Rattus norvegicus: one gene and its partners. The protein of the gene in region 7 binds, or shares a complex with, the protein of the main gene of each other region. Links are inferred from orthologs where the notes say so. Each region holds a gene or a part of one and is shown on either strand. Other genes may lie near its edges. The genes, in order: Snrnp40, Cwc27, Rbmx2, Usp39, Lsm2, Prpf6 and Snrnp200.

What was found.
Region 1: Snrnp200 (region 7) and Snrnp40 share a complex: the UniProt entries of both Homo sapiens proteins name them as parts of the U4/U6-U5 tri-snRNP complex. The link is inferred for Rattus norvegicus from reciprocal best matches to the Homo sapiens genes SNRNP200 and SNRNP40.
Region 2: Snrnp200 (region 7) and Cwc27 share a complex: the UniProt entries of both Homo sapiens proteins name them as parts of the minor spliceosome. The link is inferred for Rattus norvegicus from reciprocal best matches to the Homo sapiens genes SNRNP200 and CWC27.
Region 3: Snrnp200 (region 7) and Rbmx2 share a complex: the UniProt entries of both Homo sapiens proteins name them as parts of the minor spliceosome. The link is inferred for Rattus norvegicus from reciprocal best matches to the Homo sapiens genes SNRNP200 and RBMX2.
Region 4: Snrnp200 (region 7) and Usp39 share a complex: the UniProt entries of both Homo sapiens proteins name them as parts of the U4/U6-U5 tri-snRNP complex. The link is inferred for Rattus norvegicus from reciprocal best matches to the Homo sapiens genes SNRNP200 and USP39.
Region 5: Snrnp200 (region 7) and Lsm2 share a complex: the UniProt entries of both Homo sapiens proteins name them as parts of the U4/U6-U5 tri-snRNP complex. The link is inferred for Rattus norvegicus from reciprocal best matches to the Homo sapiens genes SNRNP200 and LSM2.
Region 6: Snrnp200 (region 7) and Prpf6 share a complex: the UniProt entries of both Homo sapiens proteins name them as parts of the U4/U6-U5 tri-snRNP complex. The link is inferred for Rattus norvegicus from reciprocal best matches to the Homo sapiens genes SNRNP200 and PRPF6.

The regions. Positions count from the first base shown.
Region 1 is NC_086023.1:147,983,584-147,987,589, forward strand, and holds the start of Snrnp40 (U5 small nuclear ribonucleoprotein 40 kDa protein), read left to right. Parts: upstream 1-1,206; 5' UTR 1,207-1,245; coding exon 1,246-1,389; intron 1,390-4,006. UniProt on the Homo sapiens protein: Required for pre-mRNA splicing as component of the activated spliceosome. Component of the U5 small nuclear ribonucleoprotein (snRNP) complex and the U4/U6-U5 tri-snRNP complex, building blocks of the spliceosome.
Region 2 is NC_086020.1:37,497,962-37,500,650, reverse strand, and holds the end of Cwc27 (spliceosome-associated protein CWC27 homolog), read left to right. Parts: intron 1-1,675; coding exon 1,676-1,838; 3' UTR 1,839-2,189; downstream 2,190-2,689. UniProt on the Homo sapiens protein: As part of the spliceosome, plays a role in pre-mRNA splicing. Probable inactive PPIase with no peptidyl-prolyl cis-trans isomerase activity. As a component of the minor spliceosome, involved in the splicing of U12-type introns in pre-mRNAs.
Region 3 is NC_086039.1:132,764,913-132,769,194, forward strand, and holds the start of Rbmx2 (RNA-binding motif protein, X-linked 2), read left to right. Parts: upstream 1-1,482; 5' UTR 1,483-1,489; coding exon 1,490-1,494; intron 1,495-1,683; coding exon 1,684-1,799; intron 1,800-3,820; coding exon 3,821-3,872; intron 3,873-4,282. UniProt on the Homo sapiens protein: Involved in pre-mRNA splicing as component of the activated spliceosome. As a component of the minor spliceosome, involved in the splicing of U12-type introns in pre-mRNAs.
Region 4 is NC_086022.1:105,961,752-105,966,051, forward strand, and holds the start of Usp39 (U4/U6.U5 tri-snRNP-associated protein 2), read right to left. Parts: upstream 2,801-4,300; 5' UTR 2,720-2,800; exon of another isoform or gene 867-2,719; coding exon of another isoform or gene 744-866; intron 433-743; coding exon of another isoform or gene 281-432; exon of another isoform or gene 166-280; intron 1-165. Other genes in the region: C4h2orf68 (UPF0561 protein C2orf68 homolog), read left to right, coding at 281-432, 744-866.
Region 5 is NC_086038.1:3,848,866-3,853,165, reverse strand, and holds the start of Lsm2 (U6 snRNA-associated Sm-like protein LSm2), read left to right. Parts: upstream 1-1,500; coding exon 1,501-1,503; intron 1,504-1,672; coding exon of another isoform or gene 1,673-1,783; intron 1,784-2,033; coding exon 2,034-2,101; intron 2,102-4,300. UniProt on the Homo sapiens protein: Plays a role in pre-mRNA splicing as component of the U4/U6-U5 tri-snRNP complex that is involved in spliceosome assembly, and as component of the precatalytic spliceosome (spliceosome B complex).
Region 6 is NC_086021.1:189,143,465-189,146,334, reverse strand, and holds part of Prpf6 (pre-mRNA-processing factor 6), read right to left. Parts: intron 2,419-2,870; coding exon 2,327-2,418; intron 840-2,326; coding exon 725-839; intron 1-724. UniProt on the Homo sapiens protein: Involved in pre-mRNA splicing as component of the U4/U6-U5 tri-snRNP complex, one of the building blocks of the spliceosome.
Region 7 is NC_086021.1:134,880,933-134,884,972, reverse strand, and holds the start of Snrnp200 (U5 small nuclear ribonucleoprotein 200 kDa helicase), read right to left. Parts: upstream 2,801-4,040; 5' UTR 2,691-2,800; coding exon 2,646-2,690; intron 2,231-2,645; coding exon 2,067-2,230; intron 297-2,066; coding exon 125-296; intron 1-124. UniProt on the Homo sapiens protein: Catalyzes the ATP-dependent unwinding of U4/U6 RNA duplices, an essential step in the assembly of a catalytically active spliceosome. Plays a role in pre-mRNA splicing as a core component of precatalytic, catalytic and postcatalytic spliceosomal complexes.

The DNA of each region.
Region 1 (4,006 bases), on a different chromosome or scaffold from region 7:
CACACCCGCTCAGACCCACTGTGTCTCAGTCATCTTCCCAACTGATAGGGCATTGCACATGCTGTTCTGTGCAGAACGTTCTCCCTTTCTCTCGTCCCATAATTAGAACTGTCCCATCAGATAGGAACAGCTCAGCCATCTTTTCTTTTGAAAAGCCTTCAAGCTTCTATTAGTAACTCATAGCATGAGGCATCGCTCGTTCAGGTAGTCTTCCGATCAACTGGTGAGATTTGCTTAACACGTTTCCCACACCCTGAGGTAGGGGACCATGTTTCTTCAGAATGACCTCCAACGCACTGCATCATAAATACCATTTGGACCACTTTCTTTTTTTTTTTTGGGGGGGGGGGTTCTTTTTTTCGGAACTGGGGACCGAATCCAGGGCCTTGCGCTTCCTAGGCAAGCGCTCTACCACTGAGCTAAATCCCCAACCCCATGGACCACTTTCGAGAAGGCCTGGTACGTAAGCACGACTATTTGACTTCTCAATAAAGTTGTGCTTTGGGGAGCCATCTGATACTTTCCTTATCGCTGGCTGTCTCGGGGACATAAATAAGTCCTTAGAAAAGACGGCTAAAGCAGTGACAAAACTAAGTCCGCCGCCTCAGCCAAGCCAGGCACTGAAGCCTGGAGGCCGGGAGTCGGGCCTGGGAAGGCCAGCACAGAGTGGGATCCAGAATCGGCATCCTGCAGAGCAGCTGTCAATGAATAGCGGCCTGAGAGTTCGAGTCCTGCATCCAGAGATCCCAAAGCTCTGCTCCAGCCTACCAAAGGACTTCTCTTTCCGGGGACTCTTTCCGAGGACATCCCCTGCCACACCCCGCTGCCAAAGCTGGTAGCTGAAAATGGTAGGCTCAGGCCTGACTCGTAACTTCCAAATTGTAACAACCACCCGCCTGATTCCCCACACACTCACTCCGCGTCCGCTCCTAACAGGACAGCCGCTTCATCCCTAGGAACACTGAATCTGCTCCGCTCGTTCTCACCCACAATGCACGGCGCGCCTGAGGGGGCGGAGGAGAACGTCAGTTCTGCGACCCAATCCAGAGTGGAGTTCTCGTGACGTCATCAAGAAGAGACCAATCGCAAGAGTGTATTCAGAGGGCGTTGCAGAAGGAAATGTTAGAAATCGATTGGTTGCTCTCTTCCGGAAGTTCTGGAGGAAGAACTCAGTTGAAACCAATTGCGCAACGCCTGCTGCAGGCGGCGCGGTTACTGGCGGCGCCGAGGGTAGTGGTTGCCGCCATGATCGAGCAGCAGAAACGCAAGGGCCCAGAGCTACCCCTGGTTCCCGTCAAGCGGCCGCGACATGAGTTGCTGTTGGGAGCCGCAGGATCCGGCCCCGGAGCCGGGCAACAGCAGGCGACTCCGGGGGCATTGCTGCAGACGGTAAGTGAGGAGGCATCCCCCCTTCGGCCCCCAACCCCTCTTCCTACGGATGGTATCAGCTCTGCAGGAACGGAAAAGCAGTGAGCCTGAAGTTAAAATAGGCCTCTGTAAAGGTGCCTTGTGTTCTGTGTGTGCTCCATACGTGTTTCCCTGTTAGACGCCTGTTTTTAGCCCTTCCGGGGCATTGAATCATTTAAAACTTTGGCCTCAAAGTCAAGACCCAAGCTTCCGCATCCTAAATCTTCAGGGATTTAGCATAAAAGAAACATTCAGGAAAGTTGGCAGAGTGAACGAATGAATGAATGAGAGGAGAAGCAATGCAAATGAATGATAGTGGCTCGCTTTGCTACCTGGTACAGCTTTTTCTTTCTCTGCATTTATAATAGTAATTAACATTAGTTGGTTCTTGGATGTTTTGCGTGTGAAATTTCCGTTAATCTTGATAACAGCCTGGAAGCAGCTGTTATTTTGCAAAATGGGGAAAGCAAGCTTTTTTGAATCAGAACCCATGCTTTTAACTACATGTCTTGTAAAATAGTAATCACACCCGCCACACGTTCAGATGAGGAAATAGGTGTACTCCTGCCCCAACTCTTTAACCAAATCCTTTTGCGGTGGTCTTTAAAATATACAAATAAAGTGAGCAAGGCGTGTGGGACTGTAGTTCCAGCTTTCCAGAAGACCGACAAGAAAATTTTAAGGGAAGGAATTGGAAGCCAACCTGTACAACATAGAAAGACACTCCCACCCCACCCCCCAAAAAAGCTGGATACACACATTTATAATCATCACTTGAGAAACTGGGGCTGGAAGATCCAGGACTTCAAGCATCTAAGCTATTATTATGGCAAAATCCTGTTGAAAGGAAAGAGAACTGTGTAACCTTGATCCTTGCCTTCTAAAAAAAAAAAGGAAATTCTCTGTAATAATTCCCCTCTTTACCTTGTTCATCTACTAGTTTTCTGGCATGTCACTTGGCTCCAGACACACACACACACACACACACACACACACACACATATATGTTCTTACTTTTTCTGTGGTGCATTGGCTGGGATGTTCTTGTAAATGCCCACATGGTCAACTATTGACTCTTTCAAATCTTTGCTCAGATACTAGCTTTTCAGTGGGGCTCTTCTGACAACTGTATTTTAGGTTGAAGTGTCCTGCACTCTGGAACCCATATTGTTTCTTCCCATGGCACACAACAGGGGGTGTTTTACTTGGGTTTGCTTGTCTGCCTTTCTCACACTTTGTACTAGAATGCAAGGTCTATTGTTTTACCAAGTGCTGTCTTCTCCAGCGCCTAGATATGTTAGGTGTGTGTGCGCTGGGGTTGGGGCTCAGAGGCCAGAAAAGAATGTTGGATTCTGGACTGGAGAGATGGCTCAGCGGTTAAGAGAACCCAACTGCTCTTCCAGAGGTCCTGAGTTCAATTCCCAGCAACCACATGGTGGCCCACAACCATCTGTAAAGAGAACCGATACCCTCTTCTGGTGTATCTGAAGACAGCTACAGTGTACTTATATATAATAAATGAATAAGTAAATCTTAAAAAAAAAAAAAAAAAAAAGAATGTTGGATTCTCAGAACCTGGTGTTACAGCTCTTGAAAGTTGCCCATTGAAGATGCTGAGAACTGAATGTGGGTCCTTTAGGAGAGCATCTCTGAGCCATCTCTCTAGCCAACAGGTAACATTTTTGTGACTAAATATACTGGATGAGTATGACCATGGGACATTATCTGCATTTATGGATATTTCGTAATAAAACCCATTACTTGGTGTAGTTAGTACATGATAATAAAAATAAGTAAGTATACTGGGATCTACTAAAGAGACTTCAGGATTATTGGTAATACACTGGTTCTTATTTGACAAGGTTGCCTAGGTTTAGTGTGCAAGACCACACAATCAAATCTACTTTGCTAAGCCTGACACAGTGATACACACTTGTCATACCAGCACTTAGGAGGACTGAAAATTTTTAAGACCAGCCTGGGCTACATATTAAGACCCCCGCTCGGGGTTGGGGATTTAGCTCAGCGGTAGAGCGCTTGCCTAGCGAGCACAAGGCCCTGGGTTCGGTCCCCAGCTCCAAAAAAAAAGAAAAAAGAAAAAAAAAAAGACCCCCCCCACCCCGCTCATGCCCCAAAATCTATTTTGCATAATAAACTGTACCCCACTGGGTTTTTCAAAGGCTAACTGGATGGACTAGAGACAGAAAAATGGAGAACGACCAGAGCTTCATTTCTTTGGGGAAAAAGAAAGGTATGAGCAATGATGTAAGAGAAGGAAGTTCAGGTAGTGATGGGGCTTTGACAGAGTGCCCTGGACCCAGTGGAATAAGGGGTAGGGGGGCTGCCTCACTCAAAATAGTGTGAGTGATGAAAGACAGACTCTGGGGAGGCAATACTTAACAGACACAAAATAAGGTGAGTGCTTCTATAGAAGACATCTTTCTCTGTTAAGACCCTGAGGCATAAAGGAGTTCAATGTGACCAAGCAGTCAAAAGTTGGCTGTGGAACAAAAACAGCCTTAGGAAGGAGAGAGCACATAGGGCATACGCTGGACTGTCCACGGGATTATCCAGAGGCAGGAGGAGTTCTGTGAGCAGA
Region 2 (2,689 bases), on a different chromosome or scaffold from region 7:
ACATTTTCTGGTTGGCAGTACTTCCTGAAGCAATGGAACTGTTAGAAGTCAGCGTTCTCACACTACATGGCATAATCCAATGCTGTGATCAGTCATTAAAGCTGGAACAAGCCATGTATCATTAATAACACATACCAATGTGAATGTGGTTTACCTCATTTAAATATCGTGTAGGTCACCTGTGTGTCACTGGCACACATCAACACAGCCTTCTGAAGTAGGAGAGAAGGAGGGGCGATGGCCATGTGCTACTGCGTCTCCAGAGTGACAGTGTGTGTAATACTTTCTCTCCCTCCCAAATCCCCTCGAGAATCTTCGAAATCTGAACGGCCTTTTCCATACAAATAAATGTCACTCTTCCACAGGGAGAAGGACAGCTGAGACTCCTGAGAGTGCCAACTGCCCAAATCCCTGCTGACACAAAGCAAAGCAAGCAGCAGCATGCGAGCCGAGCCGAGGGGAGGAGCTTTGCTCAGTGCCAGCGCTGACCTAGCAAGGGGTGTATGCACGGTTCTATTCCTGTCTGCTGTCATGACGGAAATGCAGATTTAAGATGCACTAATATGCTGATTGGATTGTTTATTAATTAGCTAGTAGAAAATTCATATCACTTGTTTACTTATGCAAAAACTGAGTCTTCCTCTTCCCTAACTCAGCAAGTTGCTCTGATGCCTTGTCTTTTGACCCCTGCCCCGCCCCCCTTAATCTCTGATGCCTCACCATGGGGGCACAGCTAATCACTGGCATAGTTCCTGCTGCCAAGGCTAGCTCGCTTATGAGCACTTAGGAATCAAGCACATGCTGGTACTCTAAGACCAGTAAGCGTTTGTTAAAGTAGCAAGGCAGGGTTGTGAGATTTGCTGTAGTCAACAGTAAGAGGAGAAAGTTAGTTCATGGAGGTACGCCAGAAATGTCGTTCCTCTCTGCATAGAAAAACTCAGCCCCTTCCGGAAGACAGCCACAACCCCACTTGAACATGACTTTCAGTTACTTTTAAACTTGTGTTTGTGGATGTAGATTTCCGTTCTGTTTGTCCCTACTTGTTTGGTTTTCATTAATTTGCTAATGGTGCTGGAGATTGAACCCAGGGCCTTATGTCTGCAAGGCAAATGCTCTCCTTTGAGGCACACCAGCCCTAGCATTTAAAGGTTGGGTTTTGTTGCTGCTGCTTTGTTTTGTTTTGTTTTGTTTTGTTTTGTTTCTAATGTGACCCTTGCTTTTGACCCTTTGAACCACTCAAAACACAAACATCCGACAGGTCTGGCTGTTGGCTGGCAGCTGGCTCCTCAGCTGGCTCCCTGTGCTTGAGTGTGCTCTTCAAAGAAAGAAGGCCAAGTTCCAAATATGGGTTTAGGAGACTCCAGGGTAGAGACCATAGCCTCCTACCAGGGGAGGAACTCAAGATGGACTTAGGAGCAGACTCCTGGAAGGCTGAGGAGTAGAGCAGCCACTCCAGGCAAGCTTTCCAGACTTTGCTTTGTTTCTGTTAGGCAGTCCTTGCTAGGCCAGCACTGGGCCACTGAGCAAAGCTCCTCCCCGCAGCTCTGTTTTCTGTGGGACTGCTTTCCAGGTGGATGAGCACTGCCTGCCTTCCTATGCCAGAGGGAGTGGGGTACAAAGTGTCAATGTTGGGTCCCAGCCTGAATTCACCAGACCATCCATCTTTTCTCTTTAGGATGTCCCACGTGCTCCAGTTTGAAGACAAGACCCGGAAGGTGAAAGACGCAAGCATGCAGGACTCAGACACGTTTGAGATCTATGATCCCCGGAATCCAGTGAACAAAAGAAGGAGGGAGGAAAGCAAAAAACTGCTGAGAGAGAAAAAGGAAAGGCGGTGAGCGGAGCCGTGATGCCGGAAGCGGTGGCGCCTGCCAGGAATGTCGTGTGGGAAATGTGTCAGGGCCTGTGTTCTGGTGTTCAGAAAACAGGTATCTCCTTTTGTAAATTTGAAATGATGTAAGCAAATGCTTTTGGTTACTGATAATTGACCTTTTATATTACTAAATCTGAAATAAAACCAGTTTCTTTCTAGTTTAAATGTTAAGTTTGCAGATTGCATAGACCTGTCTGTCTATGCCCCCTACCCTGAGATGTGTGAAGGAGCCTTGTTCAGATTTTTATAAGAGAAACTCACAGAAAGAATAAGGGAAACTTCCCTGATACTTTAATATAAAATCAAAATTATAAAATAAAAACATTAACATTGATGCTTTTTTTTGCATATAAACATATAAAAATAGCCAGGCCAGTAGGACTGACTCCTGCTTTAATTCATGAGGAGCCCACAGGCCAGTTAATATTCACTCTGCGAGCCCAGTGCCTGGATGCTAAGAGTGCTTCAAGACAGTAGCACTCTACTGCATGCTCTCCAAACACCACAGCCTGATGCTGGGCCCCCTGCTGCTCCCGCCCTCGTCAGCTCGCCAACATCAGGAGCAAGTGGGTGCACAGAGTCCAGCACCAGTAGAACTCATCAAGAATCTAGCCTTTGATACACTCATTCACACTAGGTATTTCTGTTCCCTATATTTAGTTCTGAACTCTGCATGCTAAAATTGTACACCAGACAGACTTGCTTCAGTCACCTAATAAAACCTCACCAGGCACATCTCTTCAGAAGAAGTAATGAAATCGGCTTCCTCTTCCTAAGGCCGGCTCTTCAGCGCGATCCCAGGTGCAGCACTGGCAG
Region 3 (4,282 bases), on a different chromosome or scaffold from region 7:
ACCTGGATCTAGGAACCCGTGTTCAGCCAGCCACAGCAGCAGGCAGTCAATCAGATGATGCCTTGCCACCCTGGAAAGTCCACAGAGCCCTAACCAATCACAAAAGCACCCACACCAGCCAACCAATCAAGGGAAAGAAAAGTAAATGTCACCCACCCTACCCTGACAGACTTTAAATTGACCCTACAGAGCACACACCTAGGCTTTCATTTCCAAATGGGGAGACTCTTGCATGCAGGAAATTCTGCTGAATAAACACTCTTTGCTTTTGTATACTATTTGAGTCTGGGGGGTATCATTCTTCTGCTACTCTTGGACCCTAACACTCACAAAAAGGAACTCCTATTTTCTGTTTACATACTGATTTCTGGATAATTGTGATATGAATAATTATTAATTATATGATAATTATGATATGAAGTATTCAAGTACATATAGATTTCCCCTTATACCATTAGTTCTATGCATGCAGAAAACCAGTCCTCCAGATTCCTTCTATAGACCAACTGTACAGAACAAATTTAGATGCTCAATAAGGGATGATTAAATTAGCCTGACCTGATTGGTACAAGCTCAAGACATTTCAAGTTAAGCAAATTTTAAAAGATTTATTAGTTTTACTCATGTGTATGTATATCTGTGCATGCCATGGGAGTGCAAATGCCCACAGAAACCAGAGGAGGAGGATGGATCTTCTGAAGTTGGAGTTGTGAGCCACTTGTTTTGGGTGCTGGGATCTGAATACAGGTTCTCTGGAAAAATCACCAAATGGTCTTAACCACTGAACCACCTCCCTAGACATTCAAGCTAATTTGTTGAAGCTCAGTTTTTTTTTCCTCTGTAAAGTAGGGGTGGTAACTGTATTTCATGGGGTTGTTGGGAGGCCAGCTTGGTCTACAGAGCGATGTCCAAGACAGCTAGGGCTACACAAAGAAACCCTGTATGTAAAGAAACAGAGATTGAATGAAAAATGAAAATGGCAGAAACTGAGCCCCTTGGAGGCAGAGGTTTAGGGTAGGGGCAGCCACTGGTGTGAGACTTAGCCTGGGTTTGAGACCTAACAGAGACAACATGCATAAATTTTCTATCATTTGGAACCTTTACATTCTCTAACTCTTCAATTGTTAGGTACTAATTTGACAATGCTAATTTTTGCCTGCCTCTGGAAAAAGGCCACATCCGTTATTTAAATCTGTGGGCATTTAATTCAGACTGCAGAAGCACACGGATCCACTGTAACGCCCAGGTTCCCACCTTCGAGCTACACCAAAAAGGGAAGCAGGGAATAACTAGGGAACTATTTCGCCCCTGGAGCAAAAGCGTGAGAAAGCGCGTTTGCGTTACTGCGCATGTGCCGAGGCTTAGCGCGCCGGAAGTCCCGCCTCCATTTCCGTTGGCTCCAATCTGAGCTGAGTGTTCGGGTTGCGCGCGCGCTTCGGAGCCTCACCCGGAAGCTGATGTCTTAAGAGCGGAGCGCGAAGATGCGAATATGAAGTAAGGATTTAGTTTCTCTGAGGACAGGGGAGGGAGTTTCTCTGAGGAAGGGAGAATGGATTGAGGAGGGCCGCCCATAAGGGCGGGGACAGGTCCTCGCCTTCAGGGCCTCGGGGCGGGAGACGACCGGTACGTAGAAGGCGGGCTGTGAGGAAATGTACTTAAACGTCTTTCCCTTCTCCCGCACAGCCCTTTAACTAAGGTGAAGCTGATCAACGAACTGAATGAGCGAGAGGTTCAACTTGGGGTGGCAGAAAAGGTGTCTTGGCACTCGGAATACAAAGACAGCGCCTGGATCTTTCTTGGTGAGGTCTACATTTTTCTCTAGCAGTGCCTTTCAGAGTCTGTACCTCCCCTCCCCTCCTCCCCCTTCCTCCTGGTTGTTTAGCGCCCCTGGTCGTCACCTCTGAACACGCTGCTCGTCACCTCACACTCTTGCAGCTAGTCTGCTCACAGGTTCCTTTTTCACTTGGCCCCTATGATACTGCTTAGAAATTGGTATTTGCCATTCATTATATGAAAAATCTTGCCACTTGGTTGCTTAGAGACAGTTAACTCCCCAGGCAACCCATAGTGATGTCAAGGAAACTGAGGCGCACAGGGGTTACTGGGCTTGCTTAAGGTGCTGCATCACTCAAAACTATAGGGCTGTGTTCTTAGTCCTTATTGCATGTCTATTATCTGCCGTTTCTCAGAATTATTTTCCTCTTGTAAGTGGCTGCTTCTCCCAGTTCTTTGTTGTATTGTTAGGTACCAGAACAGACATTAACTGGCTTGGACGACATTGAGGGTTTCTCCTGCTTAACATTTGAAAGGCTATCTGAAAATGTGGAGGGATGTGAGCTTTGTTGTTCATTAAGGGAAAACTACTGATGAAAAGAATACAGTCTGGATTACACCCCTGGCCCTGGGTAGATACCGGGACATTTTCAGGAATCCTAAATGTTACATGCTTGTGTTCCCCTTCCTTAAGACAATCCAACAGGCTTTAAATTTTCTGGCCAGGAGTCACCTGTCAGGAAAGCTCAGTCATCTAAAGACACGCTAAGGACATGGGAGGGAAATGATCCCCAGTGCAGTTGTTACTGGTCTCTGTGTTAAGTCTACCTGTTATTCTGAGTTCTCACTTATCCCCTGCCCTCCCTTTCTGTCCATTCTCTGGATGCTGGCTGGAATCCTGAACATGCTTGCCCGGAACACTTTGGACTGTCTCATTCCAAATCTAAAGGCTCTCCTATCCCCTTGAACCACTCCTCTACCTCCATCTCTGTGCATTGCTGCTTGCTTGACCGCTAATTCAGAAGGCATGGCTGCTTCTTCTGCAGCTCCTTCATCCCAGTAGCTGCTGAAGCTTACAACTTGCTTCCCTATCAGCTCTCTCTCAAATGCTAATAAAATGGACCTCAAGCTTCCTCCTTAGTCTGCTTTAGAATTATATTATCAAGATAAGACATTACTAGCCTTTGTAAAAGGGGAACTCTTAACTCTCTGGTGACAATATTATTATCCTGTATTCACTTTATGTCCCAACCAAAATCCTGCAGTTTACCTTTGGAAAGAGGCTGTTGTAATAGGTATTGTGTTAAGCACTTTATATTCCTCATTTTACTTTATTTCTCTAACACTCCTGTGAGGCAAATATGATACCATCCCATTTTTACACTTGAGGGAAAACATGGAGGGAGGGGAAATTGTTTCCTATGAAATGCTTAATATTATCCCTTATAAATCTTAGCTTGCACATAAGTGAGGGTAATAATAGTATACTTAAACTTGCTGTTTATGAGATTGAGTCTTGTGCAGGAAATCACCTGCTTTATAGGATTTTTGGATGTGAGGATTCAAAGATAAAATTAATTTGGTGAGTGATGACCCCAGCCTTTCCACTCAGAGTTACTATTTTTTTCTCTTTCTCTTCTCTTCTTTTCTTTCCCTCCTTTCCCTTCCTTTTCTCCTTTTTTTCTCTCTCTCCCTCCCTTCCTTCTTCCCTCCCTCCTTCCCTCCTTCCCTCCTTTTCTCTCTCTCTCTCTTCCCCCCTCCCTCCCTCTGTACCTCCCTCTCCCTCTTTCTTCCTTTCTTTCTCTCTTTCTTTGAGGCAGAGTTTTACTATGAAACCACTGTGTAGACCAGGCTTGCCTGGAACTCACAGAGATCTGAGAGTTAATTACTTTCCTTCCGGACTACTGTCACTATACCCACTCATTCTATCATTGGATTAGACTGATATATTTGAGATTGTGGCTTGTTTAATCTGTACCTCCAGTGCCTAGCATGCAGTAAACACTTGCTTAATGTTTGTTGAACCCAAGTGTTTGTTTTCTTCTAGGAGGGCTTCCTTATGAACTGACAGAAGGAGACATCATCTGTGTGTTCTCACAGTAAGTCCTCTGTTGTTACCTATCTCCTGGGTGCATAGAACAGTTTGCTTCCATAGAGTATTTTTGTAACAGCAACAAAGCATTTCAAGCTGGGTGTGGAGTTGTACACCTCTATAAGAGGCTGAGGTAGGAAGATCACTTGGAGTGAGACCCTGCCTCAAAAAGCCATGAAAACCATTTAATTCTAGGCTGAATGACATCCATGCATGGGGAAGGCTAGAGTCTAGCTCAGTCCCAGGTTAGATAAGGTTCCAGAGAATTACCACATGGGAGATCCCAAAGCTTGGATCATTTGAGAGTCTGTCTGAGGGACTTTAGTCCGTTTCTGTCATTTTTACTGAGCTTCGTTCTGCATGGGCTTACATTGGAACAGACAGGCATTCAGGAAGATGCAGTATTGCCCCTTCTCT
Region 4 (4,300 bases), on a different chromosome or scaffold from region 7:
CCTTTGAGCAACTTCCAGTGATATTTGCAAGAGACATGTTCATCTTGTTCTTAACTTTCTAGTGTAATTATGCTAGAGAGAGAGAGAAAGAGAAGTTAAAATCCTGATTGACAGCTCCCCTAACACACACACACACACACACACACAGTGCACACACATACCCACCCAGGGTCTGTTGGAAGCTTGGAGGCTTTCTTGGTGTTGTTTTTCTGATAGTTTCTGTGGGCAGGGGTTTTAGCAGCATCCCCCTCTTCCCTCTCATTCTGGTTTGCCCTTACAGATGGCTCTACCCACCCAGTGAACCCAGACTGTGAGGAGTCCAGTGAGAGCAGCAGTAGTGGAAACTCTGAGCTGGAGCCTCCTGGTCGCCAGCTCTTCTGTTTAGAATATGAAGCGGACAGTGGAGAGGTCACATCAGTTATTGTATATCAGGTACGCCTTCCGGAAACAGCTGCATCTTGACGGTCCTGGGCCATGATGGAAACTACCACTAGTTCCTGAGCCGCTGTTAATCTCAGGGCCAGTGGAAAACGTGTCTTCCTGTCAGGTATTCTCAGCACAGAGATTCCTAATTGGGGGAACAGGGAAAACTTGTGACCCGCAGTTGAGAATCACTGTTACAGGGGATTCCTGAGAAATGACAAGCCTTAAGCCAAACAGTTCTGTGAGAATGCTGTCTAGGAATAGGGCAGCACTTTTCTGAGAGACCAGGCTCTGAGCTTCCTGACTCTTCCTCCACGTAGGACGATGATCCCGGAAGGGTGAGTGAGGAAGTATCAGCACACACACCTCTGGATCCAGCCATGCGAGAGGCCCTCAGATTGCGCATCCAGGAGGAACTTGCAAAGCGCCAGAGCCGACACTGATGGGGTTGAAGGGCAGGATTCACTGCACTTGGCAGAATTTTGCCCAAGGAGCTCACCTCTAGTTTGGGGGGTGCCAGGATGAATCCATGTGATCTTCAGGGATAATGTCCTCCTCTAAGCTGCTGTATCCACAAGGGTCTTGCAGGACCACATCCGACCTACCTCTCAGCAGCTATTCTCTCTTATCTCATCTAACCTAACATTCTGGAATTTTGGCTTTGGCTAACGGTGTTTTGGGGGCAGAGACTTCAGGGAGAGCCAGGCTTTCTGAAGCCTTTGCCCGTGTGCTGTTGTCTTGGTGAGGTTATTTGTCAGGCTCCTTCGTGTTTCTGCTTTCTTCCACTCATCTTTCCCCAGGCCTGTTTTCAGTCATCACTTTTCGTTTCTCCTAGCTTTCTGCCTTGGGTAGAGTCCATTTCTACCCCCCCCCCCCACCCGCAACATGACTGTTTTTCTGCCACTCAGGAATTTAGAAGTGGGGCTTCTGGAAGCCTGCCTTCCTTGACAAGTTCTCCAAGTAATTCTGATGCCAATAAAACAGGAGAGCTTTGGTTTTGAGGCCTATTTGGAAACACATCTCCTTCCCCTTCTGTGGCCTTCCCAAGCTACTCATGCCTCACTGCTTTGCACTGTCTGTGTAGACTGCATAGGAGACCCAGGAAGAAGGTGCTGTGCTAAGTTGCTGTCCTTTGTTGAAAACCTGTCCTGCTAAGCATGGGTGGCACATGCCTTTAATCCCGGTACTCAGGAGGTAGAGACAGGTGGATCTCTGTGAGTTCAAGGCCAGCCTGGTCTACATACCAGCACATCTAGTGGCAGGACAGACAGTGGTAGAAAGAACCTATCTCAAAACAACAACAACAACAAGAAAGGTTTAAAAAAGTAAAACCTGCCTTGGCTAGGCTTACCAAATTCACCTCCTAGCTGTGAACAGACTACCTTCTGCTCAGACTAAAGGGGAATTATCAAAGCAGATGCTCCAATTGTGGTTTAGCAATCTTGAGTTATTGAAGTTGGGAGAGTTGACAATAGCTATAATTGTCCTGAGGTGGGAGGGCCCCAGTTTCAAAAAGGAGTTGAGAAGAACATCATCAAGAAAGTGAAATGACCCTTTCTCTGCTCCATGCTTTCTTCTCTCATACCTCCCAAGAATATGTCTGAGCATGATGACGCACGCTTTAACCTTACCAGCATGGAAGAGGCCAGAGTATGAGACTGCCTAAGTTAAAGACCAACCTGAGCTGTCTCGAGAGAAAACTAAGTAAATGTACCTTAGGTCCTTTGGGTAAAGATCCCCAGACAGAGCATTTTTCCAGCAGGGGACATGTTTTCCAACACTAGCTTAGGCTAACTAAGGTCTGAAGTCCATAAGACATCCTGTGCACGGGAATTCAGGGCTACCTAAGACTTCTGACATACGAGCCTAACTTCAGCAACCTGAAACATGAGTCATAAAACAGCCCACAGCCGAACCTCCTACCCCGGGCGTTTGTCTTCTAGGGTCTCAAGATCATTCTAACTGTAGGAGTTCAGTAGCTTGTCTCTTCTGGGACACCTGGGGTCCCTGCTGTGTTTTATCCCCTTCTGCTGAAAACATGTAATGTAGCGGGCATCGGCTTTATGCATTAAAAGAGTGACTCACAGCTTGCTGTGCCAGAGCTCTGGGGCATTGGGTGAGGTGGTGAGTTAGAAGGGCCTAGTCCAGAAGTAGCTGGGGACCTGAATGCTCTAGACCAGGAGAGCTGGTCCCAGAGCTCAGTGCCTTAAGCTTGAGTCCTGATCTCAGTCTGCTGTCAGGGAAACGCCTTCACCCAGTACTTGTGCACTAGTGCTGAAAGTGCCTGTGGCCTTACTTGGTTAGATACCATCCAGAGCCTTCGGGGTGAAGGAGGGTCTGCCACACTCCATGCTCTTCATCCTCCAGTTAATCAGTCCATATTCTGACTTAAAACACAGGATTCACTGGAACTCTGGCTGGACAAAGAACATTGGAATCTCTTTGGGGTCTGTGTTCTTAGAGCTATGCTTCCTATATCCTGATTCTGTTATTGTACACCTGTTAAAAACACCTGAAGAAGAATCTGAGGACCAGCACCTACAAATTTGCCGTTATTCCCACTTCTTGATGAAGGACAAAATAGATACAGTGTTCTGTAGAGGCCGTTCATGTGTTCATATGGTCCTCACAAAGACCCTGCGCAGAAAGGAGACGGATGGAAACTTCTCTAAGCTCCTTTTCCAGAAGCACTTTGCTTATCAGTATGTATGAAAGATTTTCTAGCTAAGAAAGCACTCTTGATTCTTAGCTAATTTGTCCTGTATGACTACCTAAAGCCCCAGACTTGTGCCCAAATGAAATGGTCATTCTGAGCCAGCCTGTGAGAGCTGATATTTTCTAGGCACCCCTAAAATGTCTCTTAGGGGCCACCCTCAGCCTTATGGCATAGCTTTGTTGCTCTGCTGGCCTATTCTGGGGTCCGTAGTAATGTCCAGTTTACTTGGCAACCCTGCTTCCAGATGCTTCTCTTACCTATTTCAAAATTCACAGGCCATAGTGAGTTCTCAGAACTGCCCAATGTTACAGCACAGCATGCCATAGGCAGGACTTAACAGCAAACTGCCCCAGAATCAACATTCATTTGAGTAGATAAGTTCTTAACTGTCTTTTTTGGGGGAAGGGGGTATGGGGTCAGGAGGCTGAGCCAGGTATGATGGTACATGCTGGTAATCCCAGCATTTGAAAGGCTGAGATAAAAGGATTGCCCTATAGCCAGGCATAGTGGCACATACCATTAATCCCAGCACTTGGGAGGCAGAGATAAGGTCTCCTGAGGCCAGCCTTATCTACAAAGCAAGTTCAGGACAGCTACAAGTACATAGAGAAACCCTGTCTCAAACCCTACCCCGATTATTTAAGAAAAAAAAAAGACTGCTATGAGTTCGATGCCAGCGTGAGCTACATAAACCTTGTATCAAACAAAAAGTCTCATTCCCATTCTCTATGGAATGTTTTTTCCCCTTAGTTCTTAACTAGAGTTAAGCCTGTATTTTACAGTTTTGTGATTCCTGGACCAAGTGTGTATTATTCATGAGAGAGAGAATTGGTTTTTGCAAGGGGGTTTGTGCTGTGCAAGAATAAATGATAAAGCCGGGGTTGTAGCCCCCTGGCAAGCGTGACTCTGAAGAGTGCAAAGAAGGGAAAAATGTAAAAGTGTATACGATGAGAGTAAAGTGTATGCTGGCTGCAGTCTAGCCAGCAGGTGTGGATCTAGAGGAAATGTGAAAGAACATTCCATCTCTCTGGTCGTGGGTGTACTGCCAACTGGAGAGCAGCCCAGATAGGTGGAAGCTCTTTGGGGTGGTGAGTGTCCAACCTGCTGTGTTTAACAAGACCTGTGTCAGGGTGGTGCTTCCTAGATAACTCAAATTTAAGT
Region 5 (4,300 bases), on a different chromosome or scaffold from region 7:
ATAAGGGCAAAGTACTTGAATTTGTGTAAGTTGAGCATATCCAACAATTTTTTTTTTGGTTTTGAGGCAGGTCTGCCTCAAATGTCTTTCGTTCATGCTGCCTACATGACTGGAATTACAGAACGTTACACCTGCCAGGAAAAATATTTTCTAATTCTCAGGCACCCTGAGCCCATAGGAAGCAGCTGCTAAATGTACTGACTGCTTCTAACCAGTGACAGCCTCTTTTAGATTCAGGTGTTAAAGTTTCTGTTGAAACTCGGTAACATCTTGCTTGGTAATCATGATGGATCCAGCTCTGAACACAGTGATGTGCACAGGTGGAGTGGGGTAGGTAGGACAGAGAGGGAAGACACATCTTAGGGTCTTGCTGGCAAGTCAGTCTAGCTGAATGAACCTGTCCATTCCAGGATCAGTGGCAGATCCTGTCTCAGAAAATGAGATGGCTAAGTCGTTAAGGACATATGTTGCTCTTCGGCAGGACCAGGGTTTGATTCCCAGCACCCGTATGGTGGCTAACAACTATAACTCCAGAGGATCCAACACACTCTTTTAGTGTCTGGGAACACTGCACATGTGGTACACAGATATACGTGCAAGGAAAAACTCACACATATAAAATTTTAAAATATTAAGTAAGTGGAAAGAACAGCCAGCATTCATCTCTGGCCTACACAGGCAGGCATGCTCCAAGCTTCACCCAGACCCCCAGGAAACCGACTTTTTTGGTATCATGCAATCAGCAGGCCTAGTCTCTCAGAATTCTCACCTGTGTACCATGACTGCCTTGCACCAACAGCCAGCCTCGAGAAGACAAAATAGCAAGTGTTTTCCTATTTATCCAGACATGATATCTACAGAAGCTATAACCTAGCAACTTCCCATTTAATTACTAGTAAAAATAATACGGCTGGAGAGATGGCTCAGCGGTTAAGAGCACTGACTGCTCTTCCAGAGGTCCTGTGTTCAAATCCCAGAAACCACACGGTGGCTCACAACCATCTGTAATGGGATCTGATGCCCTCTCCTGGTGTGTCAGAAGACAGCTACAATGTACTTATATATAATAACTCAATCTTTTTTAAAAGAATATGCAAGTCATAATTTTCTCAATCTTCCCAATAATTCTCAGTAGAAAGCGTAGAGTATGAGCAAGTCACCCGGCACAGAGAAGAATCTAAAAAATTATCAGGGAGGCGAACTACATCCAACGCGCAGCTGCTATGGCCCACGCACGCGCTCGGGAGGGAGGAGTTCCTTGGGAGGAAGTGGGAGACAGGAAGTCCCGCCCTCCTCCCGGTTTGGCGGTCCTCTCTGCTCTGCCCTACTCCGCTCCCTTTGAGCCCAGATTCAGCCGCGGTTTTCGCGGTTCCCCTTGCGCCTGCGTGATCCTGTCCTGCCTCACGCGCGGGCTCGTGCTCCGGCTCCCGCCCTGCCTCCGGCCCGCAGTCCCCGGCGCCTTCCTTCGCGGTCCAGGCCGCCCCTCGTGGCGCCAGCACCATGGTGGGTACCGTGACGTCAAAAGGGAGCGCCGCCGCCCGCGGCGGGCGGTTCGAACTGTTCGGGTCTTGGTTGCGCTCTAGTGTTTGTTGCCTTGGGCTGTAGCTAAGCCCTAGGGTTTTCCTTACAACCTCAGGGCCCACACCCTGTGTGAGGAGACTGCTTGGAACCAATGGTTTTTTTGGGGAAACTTCCAGCAAGTCCAAGAGAAAGCCCACGGGCGCCGGGGGAGAACGGAAAGCTAGTCTTGCATTTCCGTGCTGGAGATCAGGATTTTGTGAGGGTGCGGTTGGGAAGCGGTCTCGAGCAGGGAGGTGGTCGATTCGGAGAGTGGGTTCTGGCATCGAGGGGTGCAGCGCAGTTATTGTCTCTCTGTGGCCCCAGGAATTGCAGTCTCTGTTAACGGATTGTTGATGGTGGTGAAATTTTGAGAACTACTAGGTGGGGCCAAAAGGACTGGTATTTCAAATGCCGTCACGGGTTCCTCCTCCCTGTCCCTTTTCATGTGATAGTTCCTCCCTCTTTTCCAATAGCTCTTCTACTCCTTTTTCAAGTCCCTTGTGGGCAAGGATGTAGTCGTGGAACTCAAGAATGATCTGAGGTAGGTCTTTATTTCAGCGAGTTGGTGGAAGGTGGGAGGTGCCTGGTGTCCTGATCGTTTTCGTGGTTGTTGTTCACAAAGCTATTTTAGAGCAGAGGGGCAAAACACAGAAGAAATATCTTGTGTCTTGAGTGTAAAGATTAGTTTAAGAGTGAGCCTGGTGCTGTGGCACATGCGTGTAATCCCAACGCTGATGCAGAATTGTGAATTCAAGGACAGTTTGGTCTACATATGTCCAGGGCCAGCCAGAGTTACACAGTGAGATACAGTTAAGTAACATGTATGTGCAGTCCTGGATGTCCCGGAACACACAGATCCGCCTGCCTCTGTCTCCTGAGTGCTAGGATTTGCCCTGCTGTATCATTTGCTCTTAACCATTCAGGAGTGGATTAAATGCTGTATCACTGGAAAGATGTTTATGGCTTCTTGTCACATCATCCATTAGAGTCTACTTTCTTTTTTTGTTTGTTTGTTTGTTTATTATACATAAGTACATTGTAGCTGACTTCAGAAACACCAAAAGAGGGCATCAGATCTCATTATAGTTGGTTGTGAGCCACCATGTGGTTGCTGGGATTGAACTCTGGACCTCTGGAAGAGCAGTCAGTGCTCTTAACCATTGAGCCATCTCTCCAGCCCCTAGAGTCTACTTACTTTCTTTCTTTCTTTCTTTCTTTCTTTCTTTCTTTCTTTCTTTCTTTTTTCTTTTCTTTTGTTCGGGGCTGGGTACTGAACCCAGGGCCTTGCGCTTGCTAGGCAAGCGCTCTACCACTGAGCTAAATCCCTAATTCTAGAGTCTACTTTCTTAATAGTGCTTAGAAAATTATAGGTGTCACTGATGTCTATTTTTTTTTTCATGTACTGGATGGGCATGCTCAACAGGTGAACTTCATTTCCAGCCCTCGTGTTTCTTTTTAAAATCCTTTTATTTGTAGACTCTTGAAACCTTTGAGCACAGGTCAGTGCTTGAGAGCCTTGATTCTAAGACAGAACGTGGTGTTGACAAGCAGGATGGTTATGGCCAGTGTGGGCAAGTGAGAGGCTGGCCCAGGCCGGGGTGGAGAGTAGCTAAGACTTTTTCTAGTCTAAAAGTCAGACCACACAAGTGTTCTTCCACAGAGCAGTGGGGGTTCGTAGAATGTAGAGAGTGAAGAAGTAAAATGCAGGATCTGGGGTTGTTAATTAAAATTTTAATTCCTCTGCACCTCCGTGCAGTGGGTAAATATAAGATGGGTAACATGGTGTGGGAGCAGTGGCTTTGATAACTGTACTCAGGACTAGAGGGTGGGGGAGTGTAGCATTAATAATAGTTAATTTCAGCTGCCATGTATATGTAGGTCTCTGGCTCCAAAGCATAAATGTTTACAAGTAACAGCTATTGGAGCTGCAGAGATGGCTTGGTGCTTTAAAAAGAGCTTGCTGCTCTTCCAGAGAAATAGAGTTCAGTTCCCGGCAGCTACATTAGGTGATTGACAACAGTTTGTTGGGCTGAATACAACTCCTTAGAACTCTGGCTTCAATGGATCTGATGCCCTCTTCTGGTCTCTGTGGGTAACTACATGCACATACACACAAATAGTAAAAATCAGTATTTAAAAATAATGGATGTTTCTGGGAGTCGTGCAGATCAGGGCTGACATTCCAGTTCATTTGTGTAAGTTTTGGTACCTTACATGACCTCTCATAAGTCCTGGATGATACTACTTTGAAAGGTGATTAGCTGAGTGGTTGATGGCTGTTCATCCCTTAAACCTTTAAACCTAGCCCTCAGGAGGCAGGGGCAAGGGCAGGGGCAGGGGGGAGTTTGAAGCCTGCCTTATCTACAGAGCTAGTTCTAGAACCCCACAGGGAAACCCAGTGGGCAATGGCCATGAGTAGTGCTCCTAGCTGTAGTTCTAGAACTTCAGAAGTGGAGGTAGGAATGCCAGAAGTTGGAGGCCAGCCTGGGCCAAGTGAGAACCTGTCTTAAAGTGGAAATACTAATATTAAATGGAGCATAGGCCCGGCCTGACTACGAGCTTCTGATGTGTTGGTGTGAGGACAGACTGAGTCTGAGGTGCTTTATCATTTCCACCTCAGAACTTACAGGGGCTGCCTGCTGGCTTCAGGGCCTAGAGTTCCTCCCCCCTTGTCACTGTAGTTCTGATTTTCCCTCTGCTGATTCCAGCATAAATGAATGCTTCTCTCCTCTTTGCTCCC
Region 6 (2,870 bases), about 54 Mb from region 7:
TGCTAGGAGATCACTGGACAGATGGCATTGCAGATGAACCATGGTTAATCATTTCTATACTCCAAGACAACGGATTGCAGCAGGACATTCCCACGGTCACTAAACTCAAAGGGTCTGAGTTCTGCTAACACAATGAGTGCAAGCCTCTGGGCTCTCTGGGCAGTGACGGTGACATCGTTAGTCCCAGCCCTCAGGAGGTAGAAGCAGGCAGATCTCTGAGTTTGAGGCCAGCCTGGTCTACAAAATGAGTTCTAGAACAGTCAGAATACCTAGAGAAACTGTCTCAAACAAACAAACAAACAAACAAACAAAACCAAACAAACAAAACAAACTCTAGGATAAAGCCCTTTAGTCAAATGGGCTTGGTTTAATACTTAAATTCTGTGTGGACCAATATCAACAAATCTGTCTTGCATGTAATTCAGGCTCCATGTGGTAATGAAACAAAGGAAACAGCCCATCAGAAGCCTGGGGCTGAGGATGAGCCAAAGAACCCAGGAGGCCTGTGAAGAGGGAGTGACCAGACAGATGTCTAGACAGCACCTCAGTCTAGACAGCACCTCAAGCCTCTAGCAGACAGCGCTGCCCAGAGGACTGAAGCAGGAGTTCTGGCAGCTGAGGCCCATGTAGCTCATCCTGTATAAACAAAGTCAGCATAGCCAGGCAAAGATGCTGGCAAAACTATGCCAGAATCCCAAGTAATCCCAAAAGAACTATTACTCACTTAGCCACAGCTAAAAGCACATGGGGGTCATGTTCACACTTCTTCAGGGCATCCACACTCTTGGTCTTTCTCTGGGGCCTTGCCTCAAGGAAGACAGCTTCAGACCACAGGATACCTGGAATTCACAAGCAAGAATCTACCCTCAGCCCCACTCTGGCTTCAGAAATGCACCCTCTTCTTTAGGCTACCCCAAAAGGGTACACTGAGGGCAACCACAAGGGTCTCGATATCCACCTACCCAGTCACCTGAATTACACCAGCCTTGCCAGAATGGAATTGGACAGTGTTGGATGAGAGCTGCAAGCTTTCATTCTCACTGTGTCAGCAAACAGGCAGTGGGCAATGAAAGCACTGTCACACCCGCTGCTAAACATAAAGATGGCAGCCAGGGGCTGGGCGCACAGCTTTGATCCCAGCACATTTCCTCTACGCCTCTATGCAGAGGCAGAAAGATCTTGGTGAGCTGGAGGCCAGTCTGGTCTATAAAGTAAGCTCTAGAACAATACTCAGGACTGTTACACAGAGAAAACTTATCTAAAAAAAGAAAAAAGAAAAGGAAAAGGCAAAACAACTACCACTACTAGCACAACAACAACAACAACCTCAGTCATGCAGAGGTTGTCAGCTGTAATTTTAGCACTCGGGAAGTGGAATCAGAGAGTGGAGGATCCCAGCCTTTACATACTGTGTCTGAGGCCATTATGGGCTAAACCAAACAAACACAAAGTACTATTCTAAATGCCTAGTGTAACCTTACCTCTGTACAGTAACACAGAAATAATACAAACACAAAGAGCAGAGATTCCTGAGTAGTAGGTTAGAGCAATCTCTATTATCCTCTTTTAAAACTCAAATTTCTTCAAGTGACACATGCATGTCTTCTTTTTGTTTCAAGACAGGGTTTTTCTGTGTAATGGCTCTGGCTGTTCTGGAACACATTTTGTAGACTAGGCCAGTCTTGTACTCAGAAATCTGTCTCTGCCTCTTGAGTGCTAGGATTAAAGGTATGTGACACCACTGCCTGACTACATTTCTTATATACCACATGTAAGAAAAATAATAAAAGTTAAAACTTGTCTTAAGGGGCTGGAGAGAGCCGCTGGAGCCAGCGGTTAAGAGCACTGGCTGCTCTTCCAGGGGTCCTGAGTTCAATTCCCAGCAACCACACGGTGGCTCACAACCATCTGTGATGGGATTTGATGCCCTCTTCTGGCCTGCAGGTGTACATGCAGATAGAGTACACACACACACACACACACACACACACACACAGACACACACCAATAACAGCTTAGAAAAATGACAGTGCCTCAGAACATGAAATCAAACTACACACACACACACACACACACACACACACACACACACACACACACACACACACCAATAACAGCTTAGAAAAATGACAGTGCCTCAGAACATGAAATCAAACTCCCCCATACTGAAACTGAGGGTTTATTCTGAAGTCTTTGTAACCACATCAGCGAGGCTAGACTGAAATGGGACATACAGGTTGTATCTCAAAGGAGTTCCTGGAAATCAACTGATCCTATCCCACAGAAGATTTCCTCGGTGCCATACTACGTGGCCAGGAGTCCTTACCAGAGTTAGGGCACTCCTGCAGCGCCTTGGCCATGAGGGTATTGGCAATATTCTTCAGCCCTGCCCGGTACTCCAGCCGCACTGACTCCAACCTAGGAAAAGAGGTCCAGAGATGGGACATCCCCATTATCATAGCGTAGCCAACTACTCTAGCTGGCCTTCTGCCAGAGACCCTTTTAAAAGGCTTTTACATTTTTACTTTATTATCACTGTCATGTTATATGTGGAAGTCAGAGGACCACTTCTGGAAACGTCTTCAAACTCAGATTGTCAAATTTGCTCAGCAAGCACTCTTTCCCCACTCCAGTAAAGGAGGCTCTTGTCTCTTAGAAGGGGGTAGAATCCCACTCTCTACAGATGGCAGCACTGGTGTCCACAGCCTGTCAGCAGGCAGCAGCCCCACCTGAGATCCCAGAGTCCATAGGAAACAGACACAAGTGAAGATAAGGGAACAGGCACAGACCATACAGGCAGGCACCTAAGAACAACCCCTCAGCAGTGTCCTCTCACATCCCAGCCTAACCTCTGGCTGGACTCTGCATCC
Region 7 (4,040 bases):
CCTAGCAAGCGCAAGGCCCTGGGTTCGGTCCCCAGCTCCGAAAAAAAGAAAAGAAAAAAAAAAAAAAAAAAAAAAAAAAAAAAACTCCTCTATGCCCTTCCTCTTTCCTCCTCGGTGGCCTCACCTGATCCCCGAGAGCAGCCTGGATGAAACTGAGCAGCACCTCATAGGTCTCCCGGGTCTCCTTCGTCTTGGGCTTATAGATGATGCCCACCATCTCATCAATGCCCTCTGACAGCAGAGTATAGCCTTTCATCTTGTTGATGTCGTGTCGGTCCTCATCACGTTTTCTCCTCCTAAAGGACAGAAAACATGAGGCTGAATGGGAGGACTTTCCATTCCCGAGCAAAGCTTACCCTTTCTATACATCTACTCTGTGAAGGCAGGAAAATGAGTGAAAAAAAATAGCTCCTACCAGACCTTAATTATTTGAAGAAGCACTTCTTTATGTCCCACATTTATGGGATACTTCATATGGGACATTCTTATAGAAAGAAAATATAACATCATCTGATAAGCTGTTACAATGAAACACGGTCTCCATTACCTTTAAATGTACACCTTTTTATAACCATATGAGGAGACTATGTAATATTATTTATAACCACATGAGGTGACTATGTAATATTATTTATAACCACATGAGGAGACTATGTAATATTATTTACTTTTATAACCACATGAGGAAACTATGGAATATTATTTCCTTTTTTTTTAGCCTTAGCTACACCCATCACATTTTAGTAGTAAGAGAAACTAGGCTCCAGTGGAATCTACTTCTAATGACACCCAATAAATAACTAGAAAAGATGTCAGGCTCTGGAAACTGAAAGACCAATATTTGAGCTCTTCTAAAACAACCACTCAAACCAAACAGGGCCAAGAAGAGATGGCTCAATGGTTAAGAGCACTAACTTCTTTTCCAGAGGTCCTTAGTTCAATTCCGAGCAATATATGGTGGCTTATAACCCTCTGTAATGGGATCCAATGCTCTCTTCTGGTGTGTCTGGAGACAGCTACAGTCTTTTTTTTTTTTTTTTTTTTTCGGAGCTGGGGACCGAACCCAGGGCCTTGCGCTTCCTAGGTAAGCGCTCTACCACTGAGCTAAATCCCCAGCCCAGCTACAATCTTAAGATAGCTACAGTATACTCATATACATAAAATAAATCTTTAAAAAAAGAGATAGAGAAAAAGAGAGAAAACACATTTTTTTGGAAGGTGGAGGCACATGACTTTAATCTCAGTGCTCGGGAAACAGATGCTGATGGATCTGAGTTTAAGGCCAGCCTGGTCTATAGATGGAGATACCCTGTCTTGAAGGAAGGAAGGAAGGAAAGAAGGAAGGAAGGAAGGCAGGCAGACAAGCAGGCAGGCAGGCAAAACAAAGTAGTATTTAACTTTTGAAATGAATCCACCAACATGAAAAGCTGACAGAAATCATCAGGAAGTGATAGGCAACAAAAGAAGAAAGGTTGGGGAGAAAAGTTTCTAACAATGTGGTGGAGCTGAATTACTGAGAGATTAACTAGAGGCCTGAAATAGTAGGAGCTGAATTACTCAGAGGAGATTAACTAGAGCCCTGAAATAGTCAGATAGCCAACTGGAGAGAAGGCTCAAGTAGTCTGACGCCAATACTGCTTTCTAAGAGGACCCAAGTTCAGTTTTCAGACTCATATTGGGTAGCTCAGAACCTCCCGTAATTCAAGTTCCAAGGGATCTCAAACCATCTTCTGGCCTTCACATAGGCATTTGCATGCATGTGCACAACACCCCCACCCCATACACACACACACACACACACACACACACACACACACACACACACACACTGAAGAAAATTAACATCTATGAATAGGAAATATGTCAGTAAAAGGTATCAATAGATTTTGTTCCACTTCATTACACCTAAGTTCAAAGAAGTTTTAAACCTTGAAGAGGTTTCTGCTATGTTGCACACACATCACTGATCTTCCATACAAACTTCAGCAAAACTACTGCTCTAATGCTAAAGATGGGCTTTACATTAGCTGAAAAAAAAAAAAAAAAAGCATCCCCTTGGTACTTACTTGGCCCGTCTTTCCTCCTGCATCTGTGGTTTGGTCCTTTGAGCCTTATCTCCCATTCGAGTTCCCTCCAATTTCCCAACCAGGGACAGAACCTCTCCTGTCGGTTCATCCCGGCGGGTCCGGTCAATGAGAGAGCGGTCAGCTTGGAGCACAAGATTTGAGTTCTGAAAAGATCATACTTTATCAAAACTTTGACATATGGTTTTTGAATCCTGTTATTACAGTGACACCAGAAAATGGAAAAACATTGGAATAAAAGAATAATGCTCTTAAGAATAGTATGTCATTGCACTATGCATGAGCACTGTACTATCTGATAAGGTGAACGACCAGCGTTCCTAACAACATCCACAATAGCCCACATTTGGGAAAAATGTTGGGCAGATCAGGGGTAACGAGGAGACAGTTTAGCGGGGGGAGGGGGGGACGGGACTCCTAAATTCTCACGTCCCTCAATCTCCACTAAGGATATTCCGTCGTGTTTTAATACATCCTTCACCCAGCTCTCATTTCCCCATCAGTGTTCGTGACTATCCACGACTTCCCTTGCCCGCAATCCTACTCCGAGACCACACGTACCGCTTTGTACTCGTACTGCAAACTGCGGGCAGTCACATCCGCCATGGCTGCCGGTGCTCCGGGAACTCAGGGTTCCACTCTTCCTCACGGTGCGAACCGCCTGTGCAAACCGCTCTGGCCCAACAGGTACCACGCAGGACAAACGTACGGGACGGAGAAACGAAACGGACTTCCTTCCGGTTCCGGGACGCACGATAAAAGTGAGACTTTCCGGCTATTACGCAAGACTTCTGGGCGGAGTTTGTGGACGATAGTACATCCGGGTCACGAATTCCATTGACCGACTAGGCACACGCGCGTGCGAACTATGGTTCCACACATCTATAGGTACTACAGAGCCAAGGCTGAACCCCCGAAAAGTATGATGTTAAAAGTCCCTTTCTGTAATACTTTTGGTTTCTCATACCAGCCGTTCTGTGAGGCAGGCAGCAGGCTTGCAAGGAATGGAAACTAAAGAGCTCCATTTCTGGACAAGGAAGCTGAAGGTTCAAGCAAGTTGGCATGTCTAGTAACTAACTGGATTTCTCTTCTGTATTGAGAAATTGGGGTAACGCTCGCTGTCCTATTGAACTCATCTTAGACTCGTTTCCGTAAGACTCTCCCCTGTGTCAGCTAACTGACAGTAGAGGAAAAAATATTTGTGCTCAATCATCTGACACAGCCTGTGTCAGGATTTTAGGTGTGCACAATCGTGCAGATTACAGCATATAATTTTGTCCTCAATGTGGCACGAACGTTTTACTAAAGAAATATATGAAAAATAAGTTATGTGTATAGAAATACTATTCAGATTTATTAAGCAATAGTGGTACCTTTTATGTAAAGGTAGTATTTAGTCTTTTAATAATTCTCTACACAACACTGAAAGCAAAACAGCGAGTTCTACTTTTCTTTTATGTTTAATAAGCACGAGTGAACCTTAAGCCTGTGTCTTAATCCATCGAGCCATTTTGCTGACTTTTTTATTATTTGGTTTATCATTTACATTTTATTCTTTGTATCTGGGTGTTTTGGCTTACATGTATCTTTGTGTCTCATGTACACGCAGACCTCCAAGATGCCCAGAAGAGGGTGATAGATTCCCTTAGACTGGAGCTACAGATAGGTTATGAGTTGCCATGTGCGTGGTGGGATTGGAACCCAGGTCTTCTCAAAGAGCAGCCAGTGTTCATACCCATTAAGCCATCTCTTTAGCTCTTGTCTGGTTTTTGAGAGAAGATCTTCTGTAGTCCAGGAGGCTTCAAACTTGCTATCCAGAGACTTCTCTTGCCCTCTCGATCCTCCTGCCTCCAACTCATAGACACTATGGCTGCAGCCCTGGGTTGCTGTGACCAGCTTGTATCTTATCATATTTAATAGCAGCATGGTAACCCTAGGTTGGACCCATTTACTTTT